Linked DNA regions of Oryza sativa Japonica Group. The protein of the gene in region 1 interacts with the protein of each later gene in a pairwise test. Links are inferred from orthologs where the notes say so. Each region holds a gene or a part of one and is shown in the gene's direction. Other genes may lie near its edges.

Region 1 (4,025 bases):
AGTCGAGAGATACTCTCGCTCCAAATTTCCGCATGGCGAAAGGAGTGGGTGACAAGTGGAGAGATCGTGTGCGTGGGAGGCGATGGGCAGAGCAATTTTTTTTCGTATCTGTTGGTAGTTAGGGGGTGGTTCCATTTTTTATTATTAGAAGTTAGTTTACACCTTAAAATCAAACTAGAAATTCAAAAACATAATTTTAGAGATAAATTTTTAGGTATATCTTGGGCATATTAAATATTTAGGTATATCTTGGGCATATTCTTTGGTACTCCCTCTGTCATATTTTAAGTGCAGCCATGATTTTCCGTGCACAACTTTAACTGTCCGTCTTATTTATTTTTTTAAAAAAAATTAAAATCATAAGTGACGTAAAAGTACTATTCATATTTGGGTGAATAGCTAATTAAGTCCCTCAAGTTTCACCGAAGGCTCAATTTGGTCCTTCACGTTTCATTTTATCCACATAGCTCCTCTAAATATTTGTTTTGGCTTGACATCATACTTGGGCCCACTTAATATGCCATATGGCTATTTTTAAGTCAATATTTCTATTAGAAAATATCCCTTTTGCCCTTAATTTATATACAACTATATACTAAAAGGGAGAAAACCAAGATGAATAAACAACATTGCATATATACTTCCCATTATTTCAATATGTGCACATGAAACTTAAGCAATTACTATCGTATACACTTGCTAGTACATAATTTATTTTCGTTTTACATAATTTACTAAACATTATCTTAAAAAAATAAAGCATACAAATTTTCTCTTATATATGTGAATGATGGGGGTATAAGTGTCATTTATCAAGAGAGTTGTTGGTTTAAGGATAAGTTTGAACTAAAATAAAAACTTGAATGAGTAATATGGATAGACTGAAACATTAAGAACTAAACTGAGCTTTGGATGAAACTTGGAGGACCACTTTAGCTATTCACCCTTCATATTTTATCATCTTATAATAATAAAAATACTAATTATAAAAAAATTTAAATAAAACGGACGATAAAAATTAGACGCAAAAACTTATAACTGCACTTGAAGACAGGGGAGTACCGGAGTGCCATTTAAAATTGGGAAAACGGAAAAGTGAAATATTGAGCTGAATTTCCGGGCGCTGGGGAGTAGGGGGGTCAAAAGAGTCATTTCCGCGTATTTCTCGCCCGTTCGCCATCTCTTGTCGTGTAGTACCGCCGAAAAGGAATTTCCCTTTCCGCCCCTGCGCTGTGCGCTCCACTCCACTACTTGAGTCCCCCATCCCCAGACTCCGCCACCACCACCTCCGGCTCCCCACCCCGACCAGCGGCGCCAGAGCAGAGGCAGTGAGGCCGAGCTCCTCGCCTCGCCTCGCCGTCTCCGCCCGCGCGGCGCTGCCGCCGAGCCGCCGCCGGCCTCCTCCTCCTCCTCCTTCCCGGTTCGGATCGGGCCCAAGGTATATGCCACTCGTCTTCTCTCCCTCCTCCCCGCCGCTTCATGAGCCACCGGAGATTGCCTTGAGGGGATTTCTTCCCGCTCGGATCGACGGATCCAGTCCCGTTTCTTCCGGGTTCTTGCGGTGTAGAGTCGTAGTCGTAGTGGTAGTGTTGGTAGCGGCTTGTTTTTCGAGGGAGGGATTTGGGGGGGTTTGGTTGGTTCGGGTTCTTGGGGAGGGTTTAGCTGAACCCGTGAGGTTTCTGAGGTCCCCGCCTGAACAGATCTGTGGTGTCTCCGTGTGGGAGCATGTTTTGCTGCGTGCGTGCGTGCGTGCATGCTAGCCATGGATTGGTGCTCACGCCGCATGCGTGAGCTTTGGGGGGGGGGGGGGGTTCAGTTGTTGTTGGATTATGTGAGCGAGAACGCATGATACGATGCAATGCCGCGGTCCTTTTTGTTGTGATGGGCAGCCTCACAGCATGCGTGCTGCGGCATTCACATGGACGTCGACACCGTGTCGATTCTTTTTGTGTCTCTTGTTGTGTTGTGAAATTTTTCATGAATGGTGCAAGGTGGCGGTTGGTCTTGGATGTGGATGTTGAGCTGGGAGGATCAGTTATCCTACAAATTGCATCTTAGTAGTACATATGTTGACATGGCATTACTGATTCACCCTCCTTTTTTTGCTTCTGCATGTCATTGCCCTGTTACCCCTTAAAATAGGTTCTATTATGGTATACCTATCCAGTGTGCAAGAATGATATGCCTTTGACATTGTTGCGTCATCTTTACTTGGTACTTTAGATGGTAAAATGGAAGTGTGATGGATGTAACTGTGTCAATACAGCGGAGAAGATATTAATCAATAATCATGTACATTTGTTGTTTTTGGCATCTTCTCATGTAAAATCTTTTGGGTCTGTTCTTGTTATGTGCTTCACTTTCACTTTTACTGTTTTTTTTTTAATTTTCAAGAAACATACAGCTTCAGTGTGGTGATTGATAAAAATCATTACTCTAACTAATTCTGTTTTCTCCTCGAACTGTTCTGTTCCTAGAGCCGGACTGCAGCCATGGCAGATCTGCAGGAGCCCCTCGTTCGTCCGAAGAGGAAGAAGGTTTTGGTGGACTACTTGGTAAAGTTCCGATGGATTCTGGTGATCTTTGTGGTGCTCCCCATTTCCGCTCTGATCTACTTCAATATCTATTTGGGCGATGTCTGGTCTGCCATGAAATCTGAGAAACGTCGCCAGAAGGAACATGATGACAATGTGCAAAAAGTTGTGAAGCGGCTCAAGCAGAGGAACCCAAAGAAGGATGGCCTTGTTTGCACAGCTAGGAAGCCCTGGATTGCTGTTGGCATGCGCAATGTAGACTACAAGCGTGCTAGGCATTTTGAGGTTGACCTTTCCGCCTTCAGGAACATTCTTGAGATTGACAGAGAGAGAATGGTTGCCAAGGTTGAGCCTCTTGTCAACATGGGCCAGATAACCAGAGCTACATGCCCAATGAACCTTGCCCTTGCAGTTGTTGCTGAGCTTGATGACCTTACTGTTGGGGGACTGATCAATGGGTATGGTATTGAAGGGAGCTCTCACCTCTATGGTCTTTTCTCTGACACTGTTGTCGCCGTGGAAGTTGTTCTTGCAGACGGTCGAGTTGTTAGAGCCACTAAGGATAATGAGTACTCTGACCTTTTCTATGGCATTCCCTGGTCCCAGGGAACACTTGGGTTTCTTGTTTCCGCTGAGATCAAACTCATTCCCATCAAGGAATACATGAGGCTCACATATACTCCAGTTAAAGGGTCACTGAAGGAGATAGCACAAGGTTATTGTGATTCGTTTGCACCACGAGATGGTGATCCTGCAAAGGTCCCAGACTTCGTTGAGGGAATGGTGTACACAGAAAATGAGGGTGTCATGATGACTGGTGTTTATGCTTCCAAAGAAGAGGCAAAGAAGAAGGGCAATAAGATCAACTGTGTCGGGTGGTGGTTCAAGCCTTGGTTTTACCAACATGCTCAGACAGCACTCAAGAAGGGTGAGTTTGTGGAGTACATTCCAACAAGAGAGTACTACCACCGTCACACCCGGTGTCTGTACTGGGAGGGGAAGCTGATCTTGCCATTCGGCGACCAATTCTGGTTCAGGTTCCTCTTGGGCTGGCTGATGCCACCAAAGGTGTCTCTGCTCAAGGCCACACAGGGTGAATCTATCAGGAATTACTACCATGACAACCATGTGATTCAAGACATGCTGGTTCCCTTGTACAAAGTTGGAGATGCTCTTGAGTTTGTTCACAAGGAAATGGAGGTGTGTTTCACTTCGGATCGAATATTTGATGTTTAAGTATCAAATATGCATTTAAAACGAGGCTTTTCAATTATATAACTACTTCTAGAAATGAATATTCCATGCCATAAATTGTTATGCTTGCACATGCATTCTATTACTTATATCTTTGGGCTTGATGTAAGTTCACCTAACTATTCTTGTGCCTGTACCAACTATTTTAGTGTACTGCAATCTACTGCTGCTTACAGTTCACTAATAATTTCTGTTATTAGGTTTATCCACTGTGGCTGTGCCCGCACCGGCTCTACA
Region 2 (4,173 bases), on another chromosome or scaffold:
TGTGCAACTTGGACTCGAGATTAGAAATAGGTGTTAGTGCACAGTGGCATATCTGGGATTTTTATATGGGTGATCGAACCTATACTTTTTTAGAAATACCCTAAATATAACAAAGCTATAAGTATAAATTGATCAAATATGCATAACAATATATTAATAAGGGAGTTAGTATTTTTTTTACTTTTTCTAATTTTTTAAATATATGTGTATATATGTATTAGGTTAGGATTTTTTTTCCGGTGGTCCTTGGATCCGCTTGTGTTACTGTACCTCAATTAGAGGGATGAGCTTGTGCTCGTTTTCTTCACCAGTGGTAGTGATTTTTTTTCCATCTTTCAGAGTAAATCTAACAGTCTAAAACTTAAATATTTTCCCCAAAAAATCCGTCGAAAGAAAAATAGCAATTTCGTACACGAAAACATATAGCTACTGTTTCTTAAATTAAATCTATTTATAGTATAGCAATCTACTGTTGCAAGGAAATGTGCCTAATACAAACAAAATGACAGCTCAATCAACACGCACCAAACTGAAACGGCCCACGACTTATATTGAGAGGAAGGACATCTATGGGCTAGGCCCACGACATTATTTTTCAACTTCTCAGGGAGAAAAAGAAAAGAAAGCGAAGAAATAGACTACACTCCTACTGTCCTACATACAGTATACGGACTACCAATGTGGAGAGAGCTGTAAACATCTGGTGGAGCCACGCACCCGATGCCTTTTCCTTTTCTTTCACGGTGACGTCGCACTCTAAATAGATCGAAATACTAACCTTGGCATATTTCACTCATGAATCAAATACATATGGAGCATAGACTATAGAGGCTTTGTTTGTTTGGGGTGTGTTTTTGTCTAGAGGTAAAGTTTTTAAAGTATACAGATACAGATTTGAAGTATTAAACGTAGACTAATAATAAAATAAATTATAGATTTTGCCTGTAAACTGCGAAACGAATTTATTGAGTCTAATTAATCCATCATTAGTAAATATTTATTATAGCATCATATTATTAAATTATGGCGTAATTAGGCTAAAAAAATTTGTCTCGCAATTTACATGCAAACTGTAAACTGTGTAATTGTTTTTTCCCACGTTTAATGTTTAATGTATGTGTCAAACATTTGATTTGATGTTTTTGTTCAAATTATTTTATCTAAACCAGCCTTGGTGCATCGAGATATCAATTTCATTTTTGGGGGCAAATTCCACGTGGTAGACGGTTGAGAGGATCGCGGTCGACGTGGCGACGCCTTTTTGATGGTTTTTTTTTTCCCCGCAGGAGAATCTGCGTCGCGCACTGACCCGTACAGCACTCAACTCTCTCTCTAACCTTTCCCCCATCGGATCGGTTGGTTGGTCGAATCTACCTCGCTACACAGTGGTAGGGGTAGAGGGAGGGTAGAAGAGAAGAGGGGGGAATCGCCGGAGGGTTCGAGAAGATTCTAGAGGGATGGAGGAGGCGGCGGCGGCGAGCAACGGGGGGCTGCTGTACCACGAGGTGCAGGAGGGGAAGCTCTGCGCCGTGCACTGCGTGAACACCACCCTGCAGGGGCCCTTCTTCTCCGAGTTCGACCTCTCCGCGCTCGCCGTCGACCTCGACCAGCGGGAGCGCCAGGTCATGTCCGAGGGCGCGGCCGGCGCCGCCACCACCGCCGCGGGGGACTTCCTCGCCGAGGGTGAGGGCTCCCACAACGTCTCCCTTGGAGGAGACTTCAGCATCCAGGTTGGCTTGCCCCGTCTATGGCCCTCCGCCATCCACGCTCGTGGGGGGTTTATTTATTTCTTTTCGCTTGTCTTCTGTCGTCCTGGTTAGTGAGATTGTTGCCGAGATGAACTTAGGTTGCCTGTAGGCCTGTAAGCTTCGAATTTAGCAAGATTGTTGTCGAAATGAACTTGGTTGCCTGTAGGCCTATAACCTCGAAGTTAGTGAGATTGTTGTCGAAATGAGTTTGGTTGTCTGTAGGCTTGTAGGTTCGAATTTTGGGGGGTTTGCTTGACGTATCATGTTGTTGATGGTACATTCTAGTTTAAGATTCTCAGATGGCTTCCGGAATTCCAAATAATAAATGATTTATAGCATAGTGGTCAATATGTTATCATGTTGAGGATGGTGAAGGAATGTTTATTTGTCTGAGACAGGAACTTGCCCACACTATTGTTCTCAAATGCAGATAAAATCATATAATTTTTATTGAAACCTTTCTATATGGTTAGGTAATATGAAGGGTTTATATTTATCCTAGACATCAGCATTTGCATGATTCCTTTTTGTAGTCACAACTTTGCTAGTTAGGAATATGTTCATAGGTTTTTGTTGCAGCAGTGTAAGTACTATGTGGTGATGATGACAGGAGATTGCATATTGCTGTATAGTTTCTTCTTGAGAAGTTACAGAAATTCTATGTGACTACATCTGTTTACTCCCATAGTTGCACGTTCATTTAAATTAACAACATGTGGGAAATAGTTGGGTGAGAGGGCTTTTTGTAAACGTCGACAAGAGTTCTCTTGGCAGGTTGCAGTTTTTCATGTTACGTACTTCACTACTTGCCATGCAAAGATACAAGTAAGTGCGTGCATGCATGCATGCATATATAATTATTAATTCTTCTGCGATTATTCCGACCAAATTTATGTTCGTGGTGTGCGCCATAAAGCTTTTACTTGTTTTGTTGCTTTGAGCTTTGTCGTGTACTGAATTGTGACATTAAGGAGAAATTTATGTTCTAGCTGTCTAGGTGTTATCTCTTACCTGTTTTAGGAAAAACAGCATAAGAGGTTTTTGAAAACCTGTTTGGTGTTTATGGGAATTTTAATTTTACATTAAGAACATCAACGGTGTTGACATGGACATTAAGGTTTGTATTATACTTTTAGTAACAATAGAAAAGAACAAAAATCTGAAGTTTGCGCTGAGTCCATTCCACTTATGGGCAAACCGCAGTAAAGCTCTGTCATCTGGGGTCTAACGTACAAGCAGAGGGGGTGATGGCAAGGAGCAGTCCAGGATGCGGCAGGCCCAGGCCCAAGTTATTCTCTGAGACCATATCCTTCTCTGGCTGAGATAAGCCCTTATTCTAAATTAGTTATGGTTAGAATAGTCAGTTTATTTTAGGATTTGGTAAGAGTTGGTTTGAGTTAGTTTTCGACTCAGATTGAGTTAATAGTTTGATTTGGAAACTATTGTTAGGGGTGGCTTTATAATCAAGCTCACGGCAATTGTTTAGCGGAAAATGCAATTAATTCTTTTCTCTAGCCGTTTCTAATGTCCTTGCCTCCCTGATGCAGTGCTGATCATGGCAATCAAACACCACCCTTGAGGTCCAGGGCCATGACCTATCACCTCTCACGATTATGATCTTCAACATATTTGACCCACTAACATACCTGCCCATGACAAGCTCGCAGTAGTTGAGTTTGTCATTAAAGCTTGTGGCTTGCCAGTTCTATCATTGTGGTAGACTGGTGTCCTAGATATGCCTATATTTACATTATCAATTGCCAAGAATATAATAGATCCTCAAATGCAAGTACAACTACTGGTTAATGTTTTGCCACCTTTTTTTATTAAAATTTGAAGGTATCAATTTTACAGTTTGCGGTAGAAAAAGATTTAGCGAATTCAGGACTTCGCTGTTAGCAATGATTAGCGAGCCCAAAAATATGGTGAAAATGTTGTCCATCTATGTTTTCTCAGTCCATGCACTATTGTTTATTGTTTTTGCACATATGCTGCCGATATTTGGATGTTCTGTATCCCTAGTTATCCTTGATGCATGTCTCTGTCAAATGTGGCCAATACCAATTTGCTGTAAATAACATTAACCATGTTTGATATGTTACCTTTTAAATTTGGGGTATGCAAGTTTTGCAACTCTTGTCCCTTGGGATCCATGGGAGAAGAATAAATTGTGCCTGTTCCCACTGCCCACTGTAAATAGTGTAACATGTTTACTCTGCTCTGGCAGCATTGCATATTTCGGAATTGTTACATCATGTAAATTCTCTTGCCATACTAGTGACAGATTTATTTCCATGTGCCTTTGGTATACATGAGCTGATATGTCTCTTTCATTCAACTTATTCAGGTGATTCTTTATGTAATAGTTAAAACTTAAAACCTTGTCACTGAATGGTTAACTAGAACTAAATGATAGTCTTAGATC

The links.
Region 2: the proteins of delta(24)-sterol reductase (region 1) and putative ataxin-3 homolog interact in binary tests that used the Arabidopsis thaliana proteins (3 or more experiments, as listed by UniProt). The link is inferred for Oryza sativa Japonica Group from reciprocal best matches to the Arabidopsis thaliana genes DWF1 and AT3G54130.

Annotation. Positions count from the first base shown.
Region 1 is NC_089044.1:14,013,897-14,017,921, reverse strand, and holds the start of delta(24)-sterol reductase, read left to right. Parts: upstream 1-1,221; 5' UTR 1,222-1,438; intron 1,439-2,479; 5' UTR 2,480-2,492; coding exon 2,493-3,734; intron 3,735-3,988; coding exon 3,989-4,025. UniProt on the Arabidopsis thaliana protein: Plays a critical role in the general process of plant cell elongation. Involved in the synthesis of campesterol, an early precursor of brassinolide.
Region 2 is NC_089035.1:37,283,763-37,287,935, reverse strand, and holds the start of putative ataxin-3 homolog, read left to right. Parts: upstream 1-1,366; 5' UTR 1,367-1,457; coding exon 1,458-1,730; intron 1,731-4,173. UniProt on the Arabidopsis thaliana protein: Interacts with key regulators of transcription and represses transcription. Acts as a histone-binding protein that regulates transcription. Acts as a deubiquitinating enzyme.